7 linked regions of the Sus scrofa genome follow. The protein of the gene in region 1 binds, or shares a complex with, the protein of each later gene. Links are inferred from orthologs where the notes say so. Each region holds a gene or a part of one and is shown in the gene's direction. Other genes may lie near its edges. The genes, in order: SNRPF, TXNL4A, CWC27, SF3B5, USP39, PPIL2 and GPKOW.

The links.
Region 2: SNRPF (region 1) and TXNL4A share a complex: the UniProt entries of both Homo sapiens proteins name them as parts of the U4/U6-U5 tri-snRNP complex. The link is inferred for Sus scrofa from reciprocal best matches to the Homo sapiens genes SNRPF and TXNL4A.
Region 3: SNRPF (region 1) and CWC27 share a complex: the UniProt entries of both Homo sapiens proteins name them as parts of the minor spliceosome. The link is inferred for Sus scrofa from reciprocal best matches to the Homo sapiens genes SNRPF and CWC27.
Region 4: SNRPF (region 1) and SF3B5 share a complex: the UniProt entries of both Homo sapiens proteins name them as parts of the minor spliceosome. The link is inferred for Sus scrofa from reciprocal best matches to the Homo sapiens genes SNRPF and SF3B5.
Region 5: SNRPF (region 1) and USP39 share a complex: the UniProt entries of both Homo sapiens proteins name them as parts of the U4/U6-U5 tri-snRNP complex. The link is inferred for Sus scrofa from reciprocal best matches to the Homo sapiens genes SNRPF and USP39.
Region 6: SNRPF (region 1) and PPIL2 share a complex: the UniProt entries of both Homo sapiens proteins name them as parts of the minor spliceosome. The link is inferred for Sus scrofa from reciprocal best matches to the Homo sapiens genes SNRPF and PPIL2.
Region 7: SNRPF (region 1) and GPKOW share a complex: the UniProt entries of both Homo sapiens proteins name them as parts of the minor spliceosome. The link is inferred for Sus scrofa from reciprocal best matches to the Homo sapiens genes SNRPF and GPKOW.

Annotation. Positions count from the first base shown.
Region 1 is NC_010447.5:87,620,064-87,624,156, reverse strand, and holds the start of SNRPF (small nuclear ribonucleoprotein F), read left to right. Parts: upstream 1-1,293; 5' UTR 1,294-1,417; coding exon 1,418-1,420; intron 1,421-3,270; coding exon 3,271-3,396; intron 3,397-4,093. UniProt on the Homo sapiens protein: Plays a role in pre-mRNA splicing as a core component of the spliceosomal U1, U2, U4 and U5 small nuclear ribonucleoproteins (snRNPs), the building blocks of the spliceosome.
Region 2 is NC_010448.4:127,977,889-127,981,112, reverse strand, and holds part of TXNL4A (thioredoxin-like protein 4A), read left to right. Parts: intron 1-340; coding exon 341-444; intron 445-3,224. UniProt on the Homo sapiens protein: Plays a role in pre-mRNA splicing as component of the U5 snRNP and U4/U6-U5 tri-snRNP complexes that are involved in spliceosome assembly, and as component of the precatalytic spliceosome (spliceosome B complex).
Region 3 is NC_010458.4:43,384,464-43,387,963, forward strand, and holds part of CWC27 (peptidyl-prolyl cis-trans isomerase CWC27 homolog), read left to right. Parts: intron 1-2,024; coding exon 2,025-2,182; intron 2,183-3,500. UniProt on the Homo sapiens protein: As part of the spliceosome, plays a role in pre-mRNA splicing. Probable inactive PPIase with no peptidyl-prolyl cis-trans isomerase activity. As a component of the minor spliceosome, involved in the splicing of U12-type introns in pre-mRNAs.
Region 4 is NC_010443.5:21,229,800-21,232,514, forward strand, and holds SF3B5 (splicing factor 3B subunit 5), read left to right. Parts: upstream 1-1,464; 5' UTR 1,465-1,608; coding exon 1,609-1,869; 3' UTR 1,870-1,889; intron 1,890-1,998; 3' UTR 1,999-2,215; downstream 2,216-2,715. UniProt on the Homo sapiens protein: Component of the 17S U2 SnRNP complex of the spliceosome, a large ribonucleoprotein complex that removes introns from transcribed pre-mRNAs.
Region 5 is NC_010445.4:59,136,098-59,139,597, reverse strand, and holds part of USP39 (U4/U6.U5 tri-snRNP-associated protein 2), read left to right. Parts: intron 1-655; coding exon 656-881; intron 882-2,290; coding exon 2,291-2,368; intron 2,369-3,500.
Region 6 is NC_010456.5:50,230,043-50,234,288, reverse strand, and holds the start of PPIL2 (peptidyl-prolyl cis-trans isomerase-like 2), read left to right. Parts: upstream 1-1,446; 5' UTR 1,447-1,606; coding exon 1,607-1,638; intron 1,639-4,104; coding exon 4,105-4,154; intron 4,155-4,246. Other genes in the region: verprolin, read left to right, coding at 1-82. UniProt on the Homo sapiens protein: Has a ubiquitin-protein ligase activity acting as an E3 ubiquitin protein ligase or as an ubiquitin-ubiquitin ligase promoting elongation of ubiquitin chains on substrates.
Region 7 is NC_010461.5:43,179,302-43,181,838, reverse strand, and holds part of GPKOW (G patch domain and KOW motifs-containing protein), read left to right. Parts: intron 1-324; coding exon 325-538; intron 539-1,433; coding exon 1,434-1,566; intron 1,567-2,303; coding exon 2,304-2,430; intron 2,431-2,537. UniProt on the Homo sapiens protein: RNA-binding protein involved in pre-mRNA splicing. As a component of the minor spliceosome, involved in the splicing of U12-type introns in pre-mRNAs.

The DNA of each region.
Region 1 (4,093 bases):
AACGCCTTCGGGAGTTAAGAAACTGCCCAATACCATTCCCACGTGATAGACGTTCTAAACTCAGACTGCCTCTAAAGTCTTAGCCACTACTCCACAATACCGCAACATTTAAATCTCAATTTTTTCTTCTTTCTTCTTATTTGTCTTTTTGTCTTTTCAAGGGCCGCTGCCGTAGCATATGGAGGTTCCCAGGCTAGGGGTCTAATCCGAGCTATTGCTACCGGCCTACACCACAGCCACAGCAATGTAGGATCGCAGCCGGATTGTGACCTACACCACAGCTCACGGCAACGCCGGACCCTTAACCTCCTTAACCCGCTGAGCAAGGCCAGGGATAGAACCCGCAACCTCATGGTTCCTAGTCGGATTTGTTAACCACTGAGCCACGACGGGAACTCCATAAATTTCAATTTCAAATTCAACTCCTTAGGGCTGCAAAAACAAAAAACAAAAAAGAAAAAAAAATTTTTTTAAAAGAATGTATATATGTGTATGATTGTGTCATTTTGCTGTACAACAGAAACTGGCACAATGTTGTAATTCAGCTATACTGAATTTATATGCAATTTATTTATAATATATATTACATGTATATAAATTTATATCCAAAATGTTTTAGATATATATATATTTGAAAAAAATAAATCCAGTATGAGGACTGTAGTGGGCCTCTGCTCGCAAAGCACAAGAAACAGGTGGACCGGGAGGCCACCACACCGTATTTTAGTCTCTGTCTGACCTCATCTGAAAAATATTCTGCAGTTGACTTTCTTCCGGTGCGTTTCACCTCCTTAAGTCTATCTAGTCTTGCTTCTTCCACTTCCTCTGAGATGGGGTGAAATGAGCACTACAGAATAGAGAGCCATCAGGTAGAACGGGACTGTGGCAGAGGAGTCCCCATGGCTCAGGATCTGTGGGAAAATGAAGAAGAAACTTGAGAGCCCCGAGCTCGTTTTCCCAGGTGTGCAAAGCCAAAGGAAACTCCACCAGCCAAGTTGGCGAGAAATCACGTCCATTCTGCAGGACAGACAGCAAACCCTCGAGGCAGGCGAGCAAACAGGCAACTCGAGCCACCTCTCTGCCTTTGCAGTGCCGCAGGTATCAGACCCATGCTGCTGAAGGTTTCCTATTTCCTGCCCCCGCCGGGAAGGCGCTCGGAAACTCGAGCCTGCTGGTTGCCAGGAGACAGGCCCCAGTCACTTCCGCCAATCAGCACGCATCTTTTTGCATCCAATCACAGAAGCCGGAAGAGCCGTAGTCGGAGGGGAAAGGTCACGCTGCTATTTGGCGGCCATTTCTCTGGAAGCTTGGTGGCTGGGAAGTTGCTGTAGCCAACTCCAGTCCACGAGGGCCGGACGGCGCTGAGTCGGCGGCGGGTAGTCTGCAGCATCTGCCCACTACAGCAGCAGTAGTCGCGATGGTAAGGAGAAAGAGAAGGTCAGAGTCGCCCGTGTGGGGGAGAGAGAGAGAGAGAGAGGGCGGGAGGGCGGGTGACCAGCTTCGCCGGGCCTTCGCGCGTTTCCCATTCATCCGCGTGAGGCCCCGCGCAGCCTGTGGCCAGCCCCTTTCTGCCAGTTCTGGGTGTCTGACGCACGCCCTCCTTCCCCTCCCTAGGAATGTCCCCTTCCCCCTCTTCTTCGTTTGAATCTGAGCCTGAGCTGCTCTTGCTGCCTGGGACCACAGAGTTGGAGTAAAGATGAAGCGGTTTTTCACGTACAGCTTACAGCACTCCAAAATCCGCTTTTGTCTGGTGATGCTGGGAAGCCCTGCAGCCCTTTGGAATACTGAGCCCGAGCTTTGAGCATTCATTTGTTCTCTTAGCAAATTTTTACTGAGCTCCTGCTACCTGTCAGGTGTGTTCTAGGAACTAGGACTATAGGGCGAGAAGTACTGGTGTGGCCCCTGCTCCAGTTTAAGTCGGTGTGAGAGAGAGAGAGACATTGATCAAATAACGACAAATACATAATTTCAAATAAAGTTAGTGCTAAGGAGGAAGCACACAGGATGCTATGAGGGGGTACCATGCTACGTTAGAAGTGTTTAAGGATGGCATCTTTGGGAGAAGGGATTTAACCTGAAACTTAAACGATATGAAATACACACCCTTAAAGAGGCGGAAGAGTGTATACACCAAGCTCAGGAAACATGAGCATAGACTCTGAGCCTCGAAAGAAAGCCTGACCAGTTGGAGGAATTGAGAGAAAGCCACAGCTGCTTGCTAGGATGGAGTGTTGGGCAAGTATTAGGCAGTTTTAGGAGGTCTGAGTTCTACTCCCGGGTCTACTTTGGAAAGCCATCAAAACATTTTAGGTAGAGATATGATGTGATAAAAAATACTTGCCGTGTGGCTAATAAATTGGAGAAAGAAAAGAGTGAAGACCATAGAACTATTTGAGATCACTCTGAGTATGCTTATCCTAGAGGGGTTTAGTAGCCAAGTTTCTTGGTTCTTTTCTCTCTTTGGGTGGATGGGCCAACAGATGAAGGAAGGGGGAAAAGTCTGAATTCGTTGGAGATACTGTTGCATTTGCTGAATAAACAAACATTAAGTGATTGATTGCCTATATGTAGGAGTCACTGCTAAGTCAAATAAGATCCAGGCCTACCTTTTCATAGTGAGAGACTCAATTATGATCTGCCCCTGCCTCTTCAGTAACTTCATACAAAACTAACTTTTATGTCCCTGAGATCACCTTGCCGAGTCATTCTTCCCTCCTTTTGCATAGGTAGCCTCCTCTGCCTAGAATAGCCTCTTTCCCTCTGGAAATATCTGTCATCCTTTAAAACAGGCATTTACTTACTTCAGGCAACTCTTCCATTTCTCTTAACACTGGATTGTTTGGTATCATGTAATAGCATTCTCCTCTTACTACATTACAAAGTAATTGCCCACTCGTGTATGTTTTGACCCTTCCCTCCCACTGTAGGTCTCTTAAGGACAGGGACTGTCATCTGCCTTTTTTTTTTTTTTTCTTTTTTTTCTATTGCCTTTTCCTTGGTTTCATTATATTTTTGGAACAGTGAGTGAATGTTTCTTAAGTGAACATTGAATAAGTCTTGATGGGGTTGATGAAATTGACTGGCTGGATATTTCTTTGAAGTTCTTCCACAAATAAAAGTGAAAATTATGTAATAACGTGAGATGGAGTCAAGAGTTTGCTTCATTTGGATACCACAGCATATTGGTAATTTGGCAGAAAAGAGTAGGTAATAGAAACCAAGCTAAAGAAACTTATTCAGTTGGGTTCTTTTTTTGTTTTTGTTTTGCAGAGTTTGCCTCTCAATCCCAAACCTTTCCTCAATGGGTTAACAGGGAAGCCAGTGATGGTGAAACTTAAGTGGGGAATGGAGTACAAAGGCTACCTGGTGTCTGTAGATGGCTATATGAATATGCAGGTAAGTGGAAGAGTTATGAAGATCATTAGATTGTATTTATTTTTCTTCATGTGACTTCTCAAAGGTTTGGTGTGACTTACAGGGATATAATTAATTGACAAACAAAGCAAAATTAAGGGGTCAAATCAAGGCTAAGGAGGATGTTATAATTTGATGAACTTTGTATGAGACATATTAAAAATTCAGCCACAGGAGTTCCCCGTCGTGGCGCAGTGGTTAACGGGCCCGACTAGAAACCATGAGGTTGCGGGTTCGGTCCCTGCCCTTGCTCAGTGGGTTAAGGATCGGGCGTTGCCGTGAGCTGTGGTGTAGGTTGCAGACGCGGCTCAGATCCCGCGTTGCTGTGGCTCTGGCGTAGGCCGGTGGCTGTGGCTCCGATTCAACCCCTAGCCTGGGAACCTCCATATGCCGCGGGAGCGGCCCAAGAAATAGCAACAACAACAACAACAACAAAAAGACAAAAGACAAAAAAAAAAAAAAAATTCAGCCACAGATTTGATTCCCAGGTGGTTAAAAGTAAGAAGAGCTCAGGCGTTTGATTCACAATGTCATAAGAAAAATATACTGATTTGTGGGGAAAGCAAAACATCCCAGCACTTGGTCCGAGAGAACCTTTTCCAGTGAAATTCGTGTCTTTTGATAAATGCTAAATGTACAAATCTAAGTAATTTGATAGAAGCAGTTCTTAAGAGAGAAG
Region 2 (3,224 bases), on another chromosome or scaffold:
GCCGCTCCCGCGGCATATGGAGGTTCCCAGGCTAGGGGTTGAATCGGAGCTGTAGCCACCGGCCTACGCCAGAGCCACAGCAACGCGGGATCTGAGCCACGTCTGCAACCTACACCACAGCTCACGGCAACGCCGGATCGTTAACCCACTGAGCAAGGGCAGGGACCGAACCCGCATCCTCATGGTTCCTAGTCGGATTCGTTAACCACTGCGCCACGACGGGAACTCCCTATACACAAATTCTTTTTGTTTTTGTTTTTAAATGTGCTTTTATGGAATAAAAAATGATTTGTCATTTTACATTTTGTTTTTTTTTCTCCCCAACCTCTTTTCCTTTTAGGTTAAAAATTTTGCAGTTATTTATCTTGTGGATATCACAGAAGTACCTGACTTCAACAAAATGTATGAATTATATGATCCGTGTACTGTCATGTTTTTCTTCAGGTATGTTCTCTTAAAGTTGTTATTTAAATTGAATAGATGGTCTGGAAGTTTAATGTAATCAAGATATCTTTAGATTCTTTTCTTTAGGAGGAGGTCAGTTATGCACTCATATCATAATATGGTTTGTGTCACCAGGCAATCAGTGTGATCTTTTAAATAATTTTCAAAGTAGCAATTACAGATTTAGCATTTACAGTAACACATTACCCTTTTGAAATAACTGCCCAGAAAACTAAATGAAGTGTAATTAAGTGGAAGATGTTCTTATTGACATTTCAGATACCTTTAAGTATAATATGTTGATGAAAAAATGTTTAAAATAACTGACTTTTTAAATATGATATCAATGACTTTATTTAGTGTCCTTTTGTGATAGCCAGAAGGAAAACCTTTACTTAATTACTTTGCTTAGAAATACAAGATTATTTTATCAGCTGAAAAATTCTGTTGCTGGAGTTCCTTTTGTGGCCCAGTAGTAATGAACCCAACTGCAAGTTCAGTCCGTGGCCCAACTCATTGGGGTAAACATCTGGCGTTGCCATGAGCTGTGGTATAGGTCACGGACGTGACTTGGATCTGGCACTGCTTGTGGCTGCGGCATAGGCCAGTAGCTGTAGCTCCAGTTCTATCCCTGACCTCACTGTAGCTCCAGTTCTGTCCCTGGCCTGGGAACTTCCATGTGCTGTGGGTGCAGCCCTAAAAACAAAACAAGACAAAAACTCTTTTGTGGACTTTAATCAGTCAGTTACTGACTCAAGGAATAGAATTTCCCTAATCGCCTTAAATTAATTTGTATCCATGATTTACAAACTTTGCATGAAAGGAGAACATAGAGTGGCTACTGGTTAGGTACATGGGTGTCCAATGCAGATGCAAATACGTTTGATTGGGGTTTATAAAGTTAAGTAGCATCACAAGTGAAAAAAAATTCTCTTGTGGACATTTAATTTGGAAAGAATCACCATTTCACAGTTTTTACTTGTCAAAATTTCTTACTGTTGGAGTACCCATTGTGGCTTAGCAGAAATGAATCTGACTAGTTTACATGAGGATGCGGGTTCAATCCCTGGCCTCACTCAGTGGGTCAGGGATCTGGCATTGCCGTGAGCTGTAGTGTAGGTCACAGATGCAGCTGGAATCCTGCGTTGCTATGGCTATGGTGGTGTACGCCAGCAACTGTAGCTCCAATTCGATCCCTAGCCTGGGAACTTCCATATGTCTAGGGGGTGGCCCTAAAAAGAAAAAAAATTCTTAGTTTATTGTTACTACAAAAGTTAGTAAATAGCAACATAAACATTAGGCCATACTCCAGAGGTAGAGCTTCACAATTAGAGAAGTTCTGGGTAGAGTATATAGGGTGTAGATTAGCTTTCTGTTCTGTTTGACAGTGTGCCCAAACTTGGTGGCTGAAAACAACACCATTTATGAGCCCAAGGTCTGTAGGTCACAGTCCAGGCAGGCTCACTGGGTTCTGTCTTGGGGTCTCAAGGCCATAGTCACAGGCTGGGCTTTTAGCCAGGCAGTCAGTCAGGGGGGAATCTACTTGGCTCTTGGGGACTATTGGCTGAATCCAGTTTCCAGTTCTGGGTGGACATGGGAATGAGGTGTCTTTCCACCTGGGCCCCTCTGTGCTCCTAGAGGCCCCTCCAGCTTTGAAGCCCTCAACCAAGAGTTGAGTCATTTTTACACAGTTGCTCTAACTTCCTGTTCTGCTTTCAGAGGGCACACTTGATGGATTAGACTGTATAATTCTGGGGCATCTCCTTATTTTAAAGTCAACTGGTGGGTACTTGTAGGGATACCTGCAGAATTCCCTTTGAAGTGCAGTGTAACTGATCGGAGGCATGATGTCATCTCATAGTCCTGAGGATTAGAGCAGGAAATAGCAGAGGTTATTTTAGGATTCTGCCTACTGCAGTCTGCCCTTTGGCTCACAAAGATTCAGATCCCTCTCGTATGCAAAACTGAGTGTGGATGAGGCTTCTCTGGGTGACCCATTAAGCCCAGCTCCTGGACACTCTTTCTCTGTGGCCCCTCCCCAGGATACAGTGTGGGACAGGCATAGGGAACAGTCTGGGTTCACCAGGAGCAGGGCTTTGATGCAGGGCTAGGATCATCCTCTTGGTCCAATGCCTGCCCTCGGGAGGGTTCTCCCCAGCCTTTTCTGCCTTTTTCATGAATGGCATTTCAGCTGGCTTATTTTTCAGCCTGCTTCCTGCCAGCAGCATGAAGTTGTAGTGCTTCCCCTCGGCCTGAGCAGGTAGAGTCTGTCCTGGGTGCCAGAGCTTGCTGGTTGCTTCCTGGGAGAAGATCCTGTCCTTTGAACATTCTGACCTTTAGGTCTTTTCCAGGTTTCAGTAGGTTATGTGGCTTCTGTGTCAAGAGTTCAGCACCCATTTCTGGATTTCAGCATCTTTTGCTATTTGGAGAGGCTGAGAATTTGTTGTTGTTGTTGTTGACAGTTTTTACAACCAGTTTCTCTCTTCTTTTACTATAAGGCCTAGGAAACCAGGCAGTGCCTTCAAGACTTTACTTCTGTGTTCTCAGCTCTTATCCACATGCATCGCTTACAAGTGTCACAGACATTCTGCCACTGTGTAGCAAAGATCCCTTTCCTCCACTCCCTGGAACATGTCCCTAACTCCTTGCAAGTCCATATTTCTACTAACAGGCTATTTAAGGCAATCCAGGCCTTTTCTGTTATGCTTCTCAAAGTTCTCCAAAAGTCCTCCAGGTGGGAATATGGGTGCCGCCTTAGATCCTGCTTCTCACTGCATGTG
Region 3 (3,500 bases), on another chromosome or scaffold:
TTGTTATGTTCCAGAAGCTGAACGCAGACCAGTCTGAGGAGTGTAGTGACAGGAGGGAGAGCTGAGCAAGGTTGCAAAGGTAAGGAGAAGCCACATTTTACAGAGCTTCATAGGCTAAGGTGAGCAGTTTGAATTTCATCCTAAAAGGAATGAAGAACAGTTGAAGAGTATTAGTTTAAAAAAAAAAAAAAAAGTGCTGTCATCAACTTTGCATTTGAGGAAGATCATTGTTGGCAATATCAGAGGATGAATTAGAAGAGATAAGCTAGAGTCAAGGAGACCTATCAGGAAGCTATAGCAGGAGGAGAGCTTGATAGAAGACCACAGCTGTGAGATGGGAGAGAGAGAGACTTGAAAGAAATCTAAGAGGTGACTGATTCCATACTGTGAGGCAAAGGGGAAAGAGGGGTCTAGGACAATGACAAGATTTCTGATTTGGGCAGTTTGTTAGATGGGTACAAGAGAAAGGTGGGGAGAAAAAAGAAAAGTAGTGTGCTTGATTTTGTGCATCTTAAGATTCAGAAAACTTGGAGACATCTGTGTAACATCATGGGTCTGGTAGATAGGATCAAGGCCTAATGTAAAATTATCATTATGTTCTTATGGTCTTGGCAGGGATGAGGTCATCTAAGGATAGTGTATGCTCTTTAATCTCTTTTGTCTCCCAGGACCCTTTGCAATGTCTAATACTGTGGACCTTCTTCTCAGGAAATATACTACATTTGCAAACAAAATTTTATGAATTTGTAGGGAATTTATTTTTTTTTAGATCTCCTGAGGACCAAGAATGGAAGACCTAGTCAGTGGTTATAAAGTTTCAAGGCTAAAGAATTTCTTACATGTCTCACTGAAAACACTCAAAATTTCTATCCCTAGAGAATTGGTTCAATAAGACTGATATAAGGGCTAGGATTTTACATTTTTTAACAATCCCTGCCTTATAGCCTGAGGACTAGACTTCAAGGACCACTGCACTAGGGGCCACAAACCTCGAGTTAAGAATCCTGCCTCATCAAGACTCACTTAGTTGGCGAATCACAAGACAAAGATTCTCAGGTGGTTTCTTCCTTCTTCTCTATTCTTTTCCCTCCCTCTTTCTTCATTTCTGCCTCTACTCCTCTCCCTGTTAATGCTGGGTGCTATTCTGGAAATTTGAAGATACAGCAGTAAGCAAAATAGTCCAAAATTCTAGCTCACATGGAGTGCTTCCTTTAATTATGGGAGAGAGACAGTAATCAAATAAATAATTGAAATATGTATTGCGTCAGATGAGTGATGAATGTTTCAGTGGGGGGACAGAGAAGGGGAATAGAGAGTACTGGAGGTGGGTGGATGGTTCTGCCATTGTATTACGTTGGTCAAGAGAAGTAATCACTGAGAGGCTAACATTTGAGGAGAGGCCTGAAGGAGATGAAAGCTAGCAATGCAGATACTTCAAATAAGAGCATTTCAGGTTAGAGAGATCAGCACCTACAAAGTTGGCTAGTGTTGCTGGCCTGGAGTTGTGGGAGATTATGTCAGGGAGGTACAGGTTGTGTAGGGTCTTAAGTGAGTTGGAGACCCATTGGAGGGTTTTGAGAAGAGGAGTGATTGCTATGGCTTAGATTATAGGAAGAAATATGAGCTTCTTTACCTCCACTTCTTTTACTTGCATTAATCCTTGTGTGAGGTCAGTAGGCTGGCCATCAGCTTCTAGAAACCATGTTTCCCACTGGGAAGGAATAGGGTTGTAGATGGACACAATATCCTGGGTGATCCAGAGGGGGCACAATCTGCTGTGCACTGGGGCTGGGTGTGGATTGAGCAACAACCCGTATGGGCTATGGTGTACTTAACGTAGCTGGCCTAGAGCAAACCTCAACTGGTAGTCCCACCTGTAGCAGATTCTTCAAACCCTTATTAGGTCAGAACAGACCAAACCAAAAAACCTGCCTAGAATGCCATGAGGAGAGTCTGAGATGGATCTCTGGAAGTGAAAGGAGAAAGTGGAATGCCTGGCAAATACTCCATTTCGATTTTTATAGGATGGAGAATATGAAAGTGCAGAGTATGATGGACACGTTGATGGTGATGAGAAGAGCCTGATGAGAGAAAGAATTGCAAAAAAGTTAAAGAAGGACACAAGTGCAAATGTTAAGACCTCCGAAGAGGGTGAAGTGGAAAAGAAATCAGTTAGCCGCAGGTGAGTGAAGTGTTGTGTACTCAGTTTCAAAACTTATGTCTTTTTATGTTTCATTTTAAATCACGATTGAGTCCTCTGTTCAACTTACTTTCTAACATACTATTTTCATAGTGTTTGCTATATATACCAGTTGTGCTACATTAACCCACTCAGAGGCCTAAAAGAAAATAAACCAGTTTTATTTGCAGCCAAGGCTGTATGAGTCAAATTTTACTTTATTTCTCTCTGATGTCTTCTTTAAAAGCCTCTAAATTTTTTTATATTTTGGGTAAGCAATATATTAGCTAGATGTGGAAGGTTTTATTTGTTTAAAACCAACAAGAATTGTAAAGTAATCGTATAGAAGAAAAAAGAGACATCAGATTTAGGTGAGTAAAATTTGTCAGAACTAGTTAAGAAATGTGTGGGCCTGAAAATGCTCTTATATATCTGTTGAAGTCTGATTTATACTGTCTACACCTGCTAATCTCAGTGGTGTCATAAAAGAAATTGCAGCAAATGTCTGATCATAAAGAGCTGTTGAAGTTTATTACTCAACATTTTACTCTCCTGAAATTCAGCTTAATTGAAAAACTCTCCTTTGTCATTCTATTATTAGAACTTTAGGGTATACATTTTAAATAATATTGCTTTAAACAATAGTGGTATTTGCTTTCTTTTGAATGGCCTACATTTGGGGATAAGATAGATATAACCACATATAAACGACTTTCTTTTTTTCTGTTATGTTGCTCATCCTCATACAGAAAAACTTAAAAATCATTTATTTCCATGTTGTCATTGCTTAGCTTCCTCAATTTTTTTCTTTATATAACCATAAGAGTAATTCCTAGAAATTTCCACTCCTAGTATAACCTTTTACATTCAGAAATGACACTTAGAAGTTACCTTAAATATCTTTTTTCTGGCAACATTCACCTGATGCTCAGTTAATCACTGTTGAGTAATTGAACATAGTAGATTAACTTTGCACCATTATTGCTTGAAGATTTTAGTGCTCATGTATATGCTTGTACATACATGGAGTTGACGGGCTTCTCATTAGCTCTTTTAATCAAATCATGAACATAATCAAGGATACTTTTTTCTCTCTCTCATTCAAGACATGTATTTTCTGATTTTTAAAAGCAATTTTTAAAATATTAGATTTTTAATGGGACAAAAAATACATTTTGAATTTTCCGTAGATGAATCAAATATTTGTCATGTTTAAGTGCTTTTTGAGTCCCATACCCCACTCTGTTTTGTTGGCCTTAGTATGATTCCAAATACTTATGTAGCCTATGATTAATATAACTAAAATTTAGTAAAGCTAAAT
Region 4 (2,715 bases), on another chromosome or scaffold:
AAGGGGGAAGTTTTTTTTTTTTTTTCCAATTTTTGGTACAGGCATTTGATCCCAGAGGGAACTGTTTTACCACTAAAATTTTTTAATAAAAATTATATATATTTAAGAGGTGCAACATGATTTGATATACATATACACAATAAAATGGTACCACAAACTAATTAACATATTCACCTCCTCACAATTTTTAGTATTGATACAGTATTAACTATAGTTAACTATAGAGCTCTAAACTTACTAGTCCTATCTAACCGTAACTTTATACCAGAATAAAGATACTTTAAAGTTATCTTTCTCCCAGTAAAGAATTTATTTGGCCGTCATACAGGTTTTTTTAATCCATTCATCAGATGTTTTTTGAGAAACAATCTCTGCGAGGCTCTGTGGCTAGCATAACAGAAGCATATGATACAAGACATCATCTCTTTTTCATTAATATTTTTAAAAATATTACTATTTGAATTTATTGAACTTCGCATTTTGGGGTTTTCTTTGTGGATTTCATGCTACAAATAGATCAAGTAGATAGATGTCTCACCCTCAAAAAAAAAAAAAGACATCATCAAAAAAGTAGTTTTTCTCAAGTAGTTTGTATTCGTGTGGGGAAGTTCTTAAACCAAAAACTGGATATAAAGTGATAATAACAAAGAGATGTACAGGATGAAAAGAATTTACATCTGTCTGGAGTAGCCAAAGTCAATTTCAGGGAGATACTTTCGAGCTGACTTAAAAGGGAGAAGTGTTTGCCAGGGGAACAAAAGCATTCCACGCAGATGGAACAGCTCGTACAGAGAACTGGAGAGAGCAGCACGGGAACGTTTGAGAAGTAGAGGCTGAGGGCCTGTAGGTGGGGTGAAACTTGTTGGGAGGATGTCAAAATTAGAAGCTCAAAAGGAGGAGCCTGTTGTGGGGGCCTGAATGTGTCGGAACTGGTGCTGTACTTAGGTCACTAGGCGGGAAACGGCGGCCCCGCAAGCGATGAAAGAAGTTTCCACACAACTTGTAAGAGACATGGCTGGGGTCAGACCTTGAGTTTCCTGACTTCAGGGTGATCCACCCCTGGTTGTGAAACGGCTACTGTACCCTCTGTAGCTCCGAAAGCGGAATTGCACAAAGAGCTCCTTTCCCCAGTTGCTTACAGCCTTGTACTACTTGTTTCCCACTTCCTCTCGGCCCCCCATCCGCCCGAGGATGCTTCCTGCCTCCCAAACACCGCAGTCCATTCAGTCTCTCAAACCCACACACAGAGGTCCCAAGAAGTCTCTGCGAACCAACCCTCGGAAACCACAAGTCCCAGCATGCAAAGCTCCTGTTAGAAAAGGGCCGCTAGATGGACCAGCATGCAACGCTCTGCGAAGGAGGCGGGGCTCTCTATAGGGAAGGCCCACTGGTAGCGTTGCCGAGGCAACTCCAATTCCGTGACAGAATACACTTCCGCCTGGGAGGCCGGGGACCGCGAGTCGCGCTGCTTTGTCGCTGTGACGCCATCCACCTGCGGCCGCGCGTGTACAGAGGTTCCGGCGGGTGGCTCCTCTCCGGCTTGAAACCTTAGAGCGGCTTCTTCTCGTCTGCGGCTTCTGACCTGCGAGCAAAGGAAAAAGCAACGAGATGACAGACCGCTACACCATCCACAGCCAGTTAGAGCATCTGCAGTCCAAATACATCGGCACCGGCCACGCCGACACCACCAAATGGGAGTGGCTGGTGAACCAGCACCGCGACTCCTATTGCTCCTACATGGGCCACTTCGACCTTCTCAACTACTTCGCCATTGCCGAGAATGAGAGCAAAGCGCGAGTCCGCTTCAACTTGATGGAGAAGATGCTGCAGCCTTGCGGCCCGCCCGCCGACAAACCGGAGGAGAACTGAGACCTCACCGTCTCACCGCTGTACGTGAGCACCTCTCTGCGTTCCTCCGGTTTGTCGTCATTCCCGCGGGTTCCTCTCCCAAGTGGACGGATTCTTCATAGCTCTGCTTTTCGTGCTTTCTTTGTACAGAGGTCCTTACCCGGGGCGTTCCGTCCGACCTGCCTTCCTGTGGAACAAAGTGTTGGGAGACCCGTCATAACCCCTGAGAAACTGAACAGTGGAGAGATCCTAAAGTCTGCAGACGTTAGAGGAGATATGGCTGGAGTGAGATGGGATTAAGAGGCTCGTTTTTGGCTAGTTGACTGTCTTCGTTGCTTTTTCTATAAAGTTTAGAAATGTTTCGGTCTCTTGGTGTGGACTACTTGTGTTCTGGTGGAGGGGCCAAGGAGGGCTCTGGGACTGTGGTTTGCCGGGTGGCGGGGGGTATAAAGAAGGGAAGGGTTGGGGAGGGGTTCAACAGTAGCACAGGGCCAAAGTTCGTTGCCAGACACTTAAATACGCTCTTTATAATATTCTCCAACCCTGACTTCTCCCAGGAACTTTTCTCAGGCCCTTAACACATTCACTATTGAGGTTTGTGATCACTGTGTCCTTTTTCTTTCATACAAAAAAAAAAAATCTTGACTCGCTTTGCCTTCTCTCTGTAGATTACACCTCTTTCTTTTGGAAATACGTGGACATATCTTGAGTATTGACAAACTGTCAAATTAGTTCTTAAATTCATTCAGCAAATACGTGTTGAATTTTATGTGGCAGGCTTTAAGGACCTATATTACACTGGTTGGGGGAGCAGAAGACCACAAAATTTGCAGACATAAGCAAGCACATGTTGGAGGGTGCTGTGGA
Region 5 (3,500 bases), on another chromosome or scaffold:
TCTGCTGTGCTACAAGGGAGCTTCTCCCATATTGTTTTAATGTGCAGTTGAGAGAGGGGGGAACTATGGTCTCCAGATGGTTATCTCTGCCCCAGCCAAGTACGTGATGAAGAAATAGTATTTGTGTTTCTAGCCTTCAGTTCCTTGTGAATCCAAACATAGTCACAGGCCTGATAAACACAGGAAACTATTAAATAAGTTGGCCAGTTGATAGGGATTTGAATACCTTTTCTTTTCTTTTTGTTCCATCTTTTTAGGGCTGGCATATGAAAGTTCCCAGGCTAGGGGTTGAGTTGGAGCCGCAGCCACCAGCCTATGCCATAGCAACACTGGATCTGAGCTGCATCTGCGAACTGCATCACAGCTTGTGGCAACCCCAGATCCTTAACCCACTGAGCAAGGCCAGGGATTGAACCCACATCCTCCTGGATACTAGTTGTGTTCTTAACCAATCAACCACAATGGGAACTTTTGAATGCCTGTATTTTAAAACCCCTTCATCATATCCACATCAGCAAAATGTCTGCAGAGCTGGACTTGCCATGAAAATCAATGTAAGCTGATAATTTCTCTAATGTGAACTCTGGGGGATTCTCCAGGAGTCCATTTACTTCTGCAGAAGGGCTATGGTTTAATCCGAGTGTTTGACTCCTAGGCTCTGTCTAATGTTCCTCCTCTCCGGAACTACTTCCTGGAAGAAGACAATTATAAGAACATCAAGCGTCCTCCTGGGGATATCATGTTCTTGTTGGTCCAGCGTTTTGGAGAGCTGATGAGAAAACTCTGGAACCCTCGAAATTTCAAGGCACATGTCTCTCCCCATGAGATGCTTCAGGCTGTTGTCCTTTGCAGCAAGAAGACTTTTCAGATCACCAAGCAGGGTAAGGAAGGAGTAATTCATGTTTTCTGACTTTAGGGCCACAGAGCTAGTCTCATGAGCACATTGACTTCCACTTTGCAGCAAACCTTACAGTAGCTGGAGTGAGTGTCCAGTGGGTGGCGTGGTTAGGTTCCTCACTCTTCCTTCATCAGCCAGCCCTGCTCAGAGACCCAAGAGATTTCAGCAGGATAGAAAGTCTGTCTGATTTGGTGAACTAAGTTTTACAGCTCAGGGGAGAATCAGAAAGCTGGGGAAGGCACCAACCCTTACCAGGCAGCTGCCACTTTTGCTTCTCATTTTGTCATGTTGCAGAGCAGGATATTCTAATGAATTATTTGGGTAGTTTTCATCCTTCCAAACCAAGTTACTGCTACATGAATAGCACTTAGCACCTGAATCTACTGTAGTATTCTCTAGATCGGTTGATTCACCAATCACTTGTGGTGCTAGGTTTTAGAGCTGCAGGGATCAGAAACACAGCTTTTCTCTTCCAGGAGCTCCCAAACTAGTGGGGAACTTGCTTATGTAGAAAGATGATTACAGGGTGTTAAGTGCTGTGATGGAGGAAGTACACTATGCTCTGGGAGGGAGCTGGGCTGGGGGTCAGCATGAAGGAAGAGACACCTGAGTTTTAGGTAGAGGGGAGTTGGTTGGGGGTGGGCATTCCAGGTAGAGAGGACACTGGACAGGAGCGTGGAGGTGCCTGGCACAAAGAGAGGACTGCACGTGGCTGGACCTTGGACCAGCACCGAGTGCCGAGGTGGAGGTTGGAAGAGAAGGACCACATTGTCGGGTTTATGTGCCGGTATAAGGAGTTTGGGGAATCAGTGAAGGCTTTTAAGCAGAGAGGTGCCGTCACATTTTTGTTTTAAAAACATTCCGGCTGAGGAGTGACTTAGAGGGGAAGTTTAGTAATGGCTTTTGATGGGTGATGAGACTCACGTTTGGAAGAGAGATAGTGATCAAAGGTACTCTTTAGATCAAAGAGCCTGGGGGTGAGTTAAGATAAGAAGACTTAAGGGAGTTACTGTTGTGGCCCAGTGGGTTATGAACCGGATTAGTATCCATGAGGATTCAGGTTCAATCCTTGGTCTAGCTCAGTGGGTTTAGAATCAGGTGCTGCTGTGAGCTATGGTGTCGGCCGGCAGCTGCAGCTCTGATTTGAGCCCTAGCTCCCAGAACTTCCATATGCCACTGTGAGGCCATAAAAAAAAAAAAAGAAGACTAAGAGCTTGTCCGTCAGGAGTGCCAGCATGTAGTGGGTGGCCAGATAGAGGAGGATGCCAGGGGATGGGATAGGGTGGCGAGAGAGGAAGGAGGAAGAGCAGGAATGTGAAGTCCCGCCAGCCAGCACGTGGTTTGGATTACACTGTCTCCCAGCTACAACATCCTACCTTCCTTCTTTTCCAGGGGATGGAGTTGACTTTCTGTCCTGGTTTTTGAATGCTTTACACTCAGCGCTGGGGGGCACAAAGAAGAAGAAGAAGAGTAAGTCATGTTATTTTGTAAAAGGAGCTCTATTTTGCCTGCTTCCTTTCAAAAACATTTTGCAGCTTCCCAGCCTTTTCTTACCTGTTTATCTTTTTGGGTTGGGGGGTGTCTCTGCACATGTGGGCCAGACCTTGTTCCTGAATGGGTTCTTTTCTGTTTTTCTTTATTAGGAGATGTGTATAGCCAGTGGCAATTTTTTTCCTTTTTTCTTTTTTGGCCTCATCCACAGCATATGGAAGTTTCCAGGCCAGGGATTGAGATCGAATCTGAGCTGTAGCCACAACCTATGCCATAGTTGTGGCAATGCAGGATCCTTAAACCACTGTGCAGGACTGGGGATCAAACCCTCTTGACCTCAGAGACAATGCCGGATTCTTAACCTGCTGCACCACAGCGGAAACTACCCCAATGGCATTTTTGTTTGTTTGTTTGTTTGTCTTTTTGCCTTTTCTAGGGCTGATTCTGTGGCATATGGAGGTTCCCAGGCTAGGGGTCCAATTGGAGCTGTAGCCGCCGGCCTACCCGAGCTGTGTCTGCAACCTACACCAACCACAGCTCATTGCAACGCTGGATCCTTAACCCACTGAGCAAGGCCAGGGATCGAACCTGCAACCTTATGGTCCCTAATTGGATTTGTTAACCACTGCGCCATGATGGGAACTCCCCCAATGGCATTTTTAACAAGTGGAAATGGATATAATTGTGCCGTTGAAATCCTGACCTGGTTTCAAACTGAGAACTCAGCAGCATGTGGTAGACATGTGGTGCCACAGTGAAGACTTGGAGGGTGGTTTGCCTGGCTCGTGATTTGGTAAAGCATACTAAAAGCTAGGTCTTCGCCCTGAGCCTGTGCTTGGAGAGGTGAGGCTGGCGTCTCTGTAGACTCTCAAACCTCGAGTCCCAGGTCTCTTAGCATCCATGCTGGCTTAGCAGTAGTTAGCCATTTCTCAGGGGTGCTGAAAATAACTCTTGCTTAGAGACTGTGGATAATTTTGGAGCCCGATTGCAGTTTTCCTCTTCCTTTGTTCCGGGGGTGTTGGTTTCTGGATGTGGGATTATGGCCTGGCTCCCTTTCTGCCAAATGGTCCTGCCACCTCTACAGGTATCTTCAGCCCATGCACACCAGAGC
Region 6 (4,246 bases), on another chromosome or scaffold:
CCAGCCTGTGCCCCATCCCCAAGATGACTCAGAGAATGACCCTGGCAGCGTGGAGCCTGTGCCCTACCAGAGGGACCCGTAACCTCTCTTGTGCAAAGCACGGCCAGAGAAATGAATAAATTCCCCCCGGAGGTGCCTTCCTTGTGCCTCGCTCCCCAGGGACCATGCTGTCCCTTGGGCTTTCTCCTGTCCCAAGTAGTGGTCAGGGTACTGCAAGCCAGAGGCTCATGGGTCTGAGCCTGCACACAGTAGGTGGTCAGGTGGTCAAGTCAGGGAGGCTGGGATCCAACATGGGAACTCAGCCTACACCACAACCACAGCAACTCAGGATCCGAGCCAAGTCTGTGACCTATACAGCAGCAACACCAGATCCTTTAACCCACCAAGCAAGGACAGGAATTGAACCTGTGTCCTCATGGATACTAGTCGGGTTACCTCTAAGCCACAACAGGCACTCCCAAGAGTGCTGGCAATTTAGTGTTTGGGAATCAAGGGATACAGTGTTTAAAGCCATCAATCTGGGCAAGATCACCCAGTGCTTGACTGTAGAGGGAGGTCCAGGGCTTGGCTGGGGCACACAAACATGGTGGTCTGGCTGAAGAGACAGAAGGTATCATCAGGGCTTTGGACTTTCAGGCTTGATGGCTCCTGCCCCTGGGCCTCCCAGGAGAAGGGCCTGGAGGCAGTGGGAACTGTATGGGCAGTGAGCGGGTGGACAGAAAGTGTGGATGTCCCTTTTGAGCTGTCTGCCTTGGGGGGGCGGGGGGGGGGTAGTTGAGGAGTGGATATGGGGCCTAGTGGGAGTTTTCCTTTATATTTACTTTTTTGTTACAATCGCAGAATGTGTAAAGTTCTCAAGCCAGGGATCAAATCCTGCCCTAGGTGCAAACTGCACCACAGCTGTGGCAACGTGGGATCCCTAACCCGCTGAGCTAGGTGGGCTTTTTTTTTTTCCTAAGGCCGCACCCGTGGCACATGGAGTTTCCCAGGCTAAGGGTGGAATTGAAGCTGTAGCCGCTGGCCTATGCCATAGCCACCGCAACGCAGGATCCGAGCCGCGTCTGAGACCTACACCACAGCTCACAACAAGGTGGTTAAGCGGATCATTAAGCCACTGAGCGAGGCCGGGGATCGAACCTGAGTCCTCTAGTCAAATTCGTTTCAGCTGAGCCACGACAGGAACTCCCAGGCGGGCTTTTTAAAGACCTGAGAAATCAGGTCAAACTAGGGTGGGTCTAAGCCCTGTGGGGCAGATAGGCAACGGTCCAGAGAAAGGCACCCGGGAAGATGGGCCTTCGGGGTAAGGTGGCTCTGCCTAGGGCTGGCCCAGAAGCCCCAGCACCCAAGCGCCCCCCGCCCCCCACCTCGGGCACGCGCGCTGGGCACCACGGTTCCCGGCATACCCAGCGCCAGCTTCCGGGGCGGGGCGGGGCGGGGCGGGGCGGGGGGGGGCCAAGGGACCCGGAAGTTGTTACGAGGTCGACGGAGACGCTGGAGTCTGAGTTGTCTGCGATTGTTTTTCTTCGGAGACGCGGCTGTCTGAGTTGTCTGGGGTTGTTTTGCCACGTTCGCTCGTCCTGCCGGCGCCGCCGCTGCCACCGACGCCATGGGGAAGCGACAGCACCAGAAAGACAAGATGTAAGTAGCCCCCCTCCGGGAGCGGGCCCCGTTGGCCTCAGTCCCGCCTGTGGCCGTTCCTGCGTTGCGCCTTTTCCCCGAACCCCTCTCAGCTTCGCTTCCCCAGAAGCCTTCGGCCTACGCCGGCGGGGCGGCCCCGTAAGGCTCAGGGTTTCCCAGGGTCCCCGTTCCTTCAGCTCCGCCACTGCTGTCTTACCCCGCGCGCGGTTCACGCCCCCCAGCCTACCCGAGAGTTCCAGCATCTCCTATTAGAAACAGACCAGCCTTGCCCCACCAGCTGCCATCGAGTTTCTTTGATTTTCTTCATGGCAGGATGGGAAAGGCCTGTGTCTACCTGCTGTTTCTTGCTGTCCTTTTGAAACCACAACAGCCAGGCACTCGACCCCCCCGCGCTGCTCTTGTTGGGATCCAGTAACTTTTGCGTGGCTACATCTGGGAGTCAGTTTTCAGACCTCGTTTTGTTGGGCTTCTCAGCAGCGTGTGACACGGCCGAATAGCCCTTCTCTGGTGTCTGGGACACCATACACTCCTCAGGGGCTTCTCTTTCTCCGTCTCCTTTGTTGGATCCTCCTCCCCTCTCTCGGACCTCATAGTTCTGTACCGCCCCCCCCCCCCTCCCAGTTTACTCTTCTCCGCGGTGGTCACACCAGTCTTGCAGTGATCAGCTGCTTGCCAGACACCTCCTTTTGGAGATCTGAGGGACATCTCCAATTCACTATGCCCCACGTGGAGCTCTGGATTGTTGCACCTGAGCCTGCTCTGCCCCCATCTTTCTTTCTTTTTTCTTTTCTTTTTTTAAATTACTCAATGAATTTATTACATTTATAGTTGTACAATGATCATGACAATCCGATTTTATAGGATTTCCATCCAACACCCCCAGCGCATCCCCCCACCCCCCAAACTGTCTCCTTTGGAAACCATAAGTTTTTCAAAGTTTGTGAGTCAATATCTGTTCTGCAAAGAAGTTCATTGTGTCCTTTTTTCAGATTCCACATATCTGATAGCATTTGATGTTGGTGTCTCATTGTCTGACTGACTTCACTTAACATGATGATTTCTAGGTCCATCCATGTTGCTAAAATTTTTCTTTCTTCTTTTTTTTTCTTTTTAGGGCTGCACTCGTAGCATATAGAAGTTCCCAGGCTAAGGGTTGACTCAGAGCTACAACTACAGGCCTACACCACAACCATAGCAATGAGGGATCTGAGCCCCGCCTGCTACCTACACCACAGCTCATGGCAATGCTGGATCTTTAACCCACTGAGAGACCAGGGATCGAACCCAAATCCTCATGGACACTAGTCAGATTCCTTTTCACTGTGCCACAAAGGGAACTCTGCCCCAATTTTTCCATCTCAGTGGTCATACCACTGCTCAGTTTGCTGGGGTCAGAAGGCTAGAAGTTTCTCTTAGCTCCCCCTGCCTCCTGTTGGCCAGTAAGTCCTGCTGGCTTTTCCAGGAACTGATCAGTTCCCCCTCATCCACCACTCCTCCCACAGGTGGAGTTTATGCCATGTCCTTCTTAGACCTTTGTAGTTCTCCTCTCATTGGTTTTCTGCTGCCTCTTGCTTGTCCCTCTGCACCCAGCAACCAGAGTGAATCTTGGAGGACATTCTCGATCTAGTCAGGGAATGACTGTTCAAAACCCTCCAGCAGGAGCTCCCGTTATGGCACAATGGAAACGAATCTGACTAGTATCCATGAGGATGTGAGTTTGATCCCTGGCCTTGCTCAGTGGGTTGGGGAATCGGGCATTGCCTTGAGCTGTGGTGTATGTTGCAGATTCGGCTTGAATCTGGCATTGGTGTGAGCTGTGGTATAGGTTGCAGACACTGCTCAGATTCTACATTGCTGTGGCATAGGCCAGCAGCTACAGCTCTGATTCACCTCCTAGCCTGGGAGCTTCCATATGCTGTGGATGGGTCCCTAAAAAGCAAAAATAAAAAAAAAAATCCTCCAGTAGCTCTCCACCTTACTTGAAGCAAATCTCGAATCCTCACGTGGCCTTTGGGGCCTCTTGTGATGCAACCATTACCCTCGGCCCTATCACCAGTGGCCATGAGCCCCTGTGTGTGCACTTCATCTTCACTTTACCCATCTTCACCTTACCCATTTTGGGGAACACTCCAGCTTTTCCTTTCTCAGCGTTTTTGTACTTGATTAGCCTGTTTAGTCCGTCTGCCTGGAAAGGTCTTCTCCTAGATTGTCACCTGGCCGGCTGCTTCTCATCATTAAGCCTTCTATTAAATTCAGTTCATTTCCTTCAGAGCAGGATGGTTTGTGTTTGCTTGCTGGTTTGTGTGTCCCTGTGTTCTTTTGTGTGTATATCACCATGTGCCTAATGCATGTAGGTGCTTAATAAGCATTTGAAGAATTAGTGAAATGGTTCAATTGTCAGTTCCTTACTTCCAGAGACTTTGTTTTCCTTATTAAGGGGATGGTAGTAAGATTCTCTCTTTTCAGGTACATCACCTGCGCAGAATATACTCACTTCTATGGTGGCAAGAAACCAGGTAAGGTTTGAAATCCTTCTGTGCCCCTTTGGTGTATGTGTGAGTGTAATTAAGGAATGATGCCTTCACGGTACAGTGAGCCTTAACAATTA
Region 7 (2,537 bases), on another chromosome or scaffold:
GGAGGTTCCCAGTCTTGGGGTCGAATCGGAGTTATAGCTGCTGGCCAGCTAGGATCCGAACCACATCTGCGACCTACACCACAGCTCACAGAAATGCGGGATCCTTAACCCAACTGAGCGAGGCCAGGGATCGAACCTGTGTCCTCATGGATGCTCGTCGGATTTCGTTTCTGCTGAGCCAAGACAGGAACTCCAGGAAGGATGTTCTTGAACATGCTGATAGGGTGGGACTTGGGCAGTGGTCGAGGGTAGGGGTGGGAAACAGGGCATTGAAGACTGATGCATCTCCCCCTCCAACAAGCCCATATTCTGTGCTCCCTGCAGAGTGGTGAAGCCCCGTGTCAACTCACTGAGGCCCAAGGGGTTAGGGCTGGGTGCCAACCTGACTGAGGTCCAGGCCCTGGCCCCCTCCAGCCCCCACCGCCTGCCAAGGCCAGATGAGGAACGAGAGAAAGATAAGGAAGACCAGCCTCGAGGACTGGTGCCTGGAGGAGCTGTGGTGGTTCTTTCTGGCCCTCATCGAGGCCTTTATGGAAAGGTAAAGAACCTGCGTTCCCACTGTGGCTCAGCAGGTTAAGAACCGGACATAGTGTCCGTGACGATGGGGGTGCAATCGCAGCCTCACTCAGTGGGTCAAAGATCCAGCATTGCCCCACGCTGCAGTGTAGGTCACAGACGTGGCTCGGATCTGGCGTGGCTGTGGCTGTGGCAAAGGCCGGCAGCTACAGCTCCAATTGGACCCCTAGCCTGGGAACTTCCATATGCCGCGGGTGGGGCATTAAAAAGAAAAAAGGTAAGGAACCAAGATGTGCGTGGAGCCCAAGACAGGCAGAGGAAAGACTTTTGTGACCATCAGCGGGAGGAAGAATTGGGTTTAGGGTAGAAAGGCCGGAAGTCCTTGTCTTTCAGGCCTGCCTGATCCTCCTCCTCACTCAGTTACTCAGGACTGCTCGCTGGGCCATTCTGAGCCTCAGTTTCTAGCTAAAACGGAGAGGGAGTTTCCATCGTGGCGCAGTGGAAACGAATCCAACTGGGAACCATGAGGAACCATGAGGTTGCGGGTTCAATCCCTGGCCTTGCTCAGTGGGGTCAGGATCCGGCATTGCTGTGGCTGTGGTGTAGGCCGGCAGCTACAGCTCCCGTTAGACCCCTAGGCTAGGAACCTCCATATGCCACGGGTGTGGCCCTAAAAAGACAAAAAAGACAAAACAAACAAACAAAGAAAAACAGTCAATTGCTAACTAAAACGGAGAGAATGCCATCCATCACAAGTCCCTGAGGATTAGCTACTTAAAATATATCCACGCTTCACGGTCTGCTGGGGGAGACACAGGGGTCAGGCCTCTTGGAGGTTAAGGGTAGACAGCTTGGTCCTAGGAACGTGGGCCAAGACCACTCAACCCCTGCCTCGCTTCTCTCCCGCAACACTTTAGATAGAAGGCCTTGATCCTGACAATGTTCGGGCCATGGTCCGCCTGGCTGTGGGGAGCCGCATGGTGACTGTTAGTGAGTACTGCCTGCGGCCTGTCTCCCAGCAGGAGTTTGACAAGAACTCCTTGGATCTTGGTGAGTGAGCCTCTTACTCAGTGGGGCGGGGGAGCTGGAGAAGCCTTCCGGCAGTGGGGGAGTGGTAAGGCCTGTCTTGGGGGTGGAGATGATATCTGCAGAGGGCCCAGGGACAGTGGTCTCCTGAGCAAGGGTGAGAGATCCGAGGTCAGAGATCATCAGCCCAGAGATCCGAGGTGAGACTGAACACAGTGGCTTATTCAATGTGATTGAAGAGAGAGGTTGATCTAGTAACCCTGGGTCTTTAGCCTCTTTCTTTCTTTCTTTTTTTTTTTTCCCCTTAGCTTCTTTCTGAGGAGGAAGGAACAGGTGTGGAAACCAATTCCTACCCTTGGGAGGTCTTTGTCTCTTTGGGGTGGTGAACCTCTCTTTTGCTGGAGATTGAGAGCATCTAGGACTAGGGCCCAGCGGGCAGGAAGGCATTCCAGGCCTGGCGGCAGGGTGGGTCAGCTGGGCACATTGGGAGAGGGGTGCCGAACAGCTCTCCAGGACTCCCTCTTCCACTCCCAGCAGGTGGCTCAGAGACGCGCTTTCAGGCTTAGCTGGGGTGGTTGAGGAAAGCTTCCCGAAAGACGCGGGGACTGTTCAGAGGAAGGGGAGAGCATTGTGATAACCCAGGCGAAGGCTTTGGGGTGAGAGAGGGCACTTTGGCTGGAAGCTGAGGCGTGGCCTAGAAGGACAGCGAGGGAGACACACGAGGCTCTTTCCTGGTTCTCCTCCCACACCCCTTTGAACAGGCCAGGTGAGCCAAACTTCCCCGGAGCGGCAGAACGGAACAGCTTCCTCCTGGAAGGCCCTGCGGGATCAGGACCTCCACGTCCGGCGGGAGGACTCAGAGAGGAAGCGGAAACACCTTCCAGACCGGTGGGACCCTGCGTATCTCGGGTGGGAGCCGGGGGCAGGGCTATGGGGAGGCTCCAGCAGTCAGAGAAGGCTTCCAGGGCAAGGCAAGGCAGATGTCTGGAAGGAAC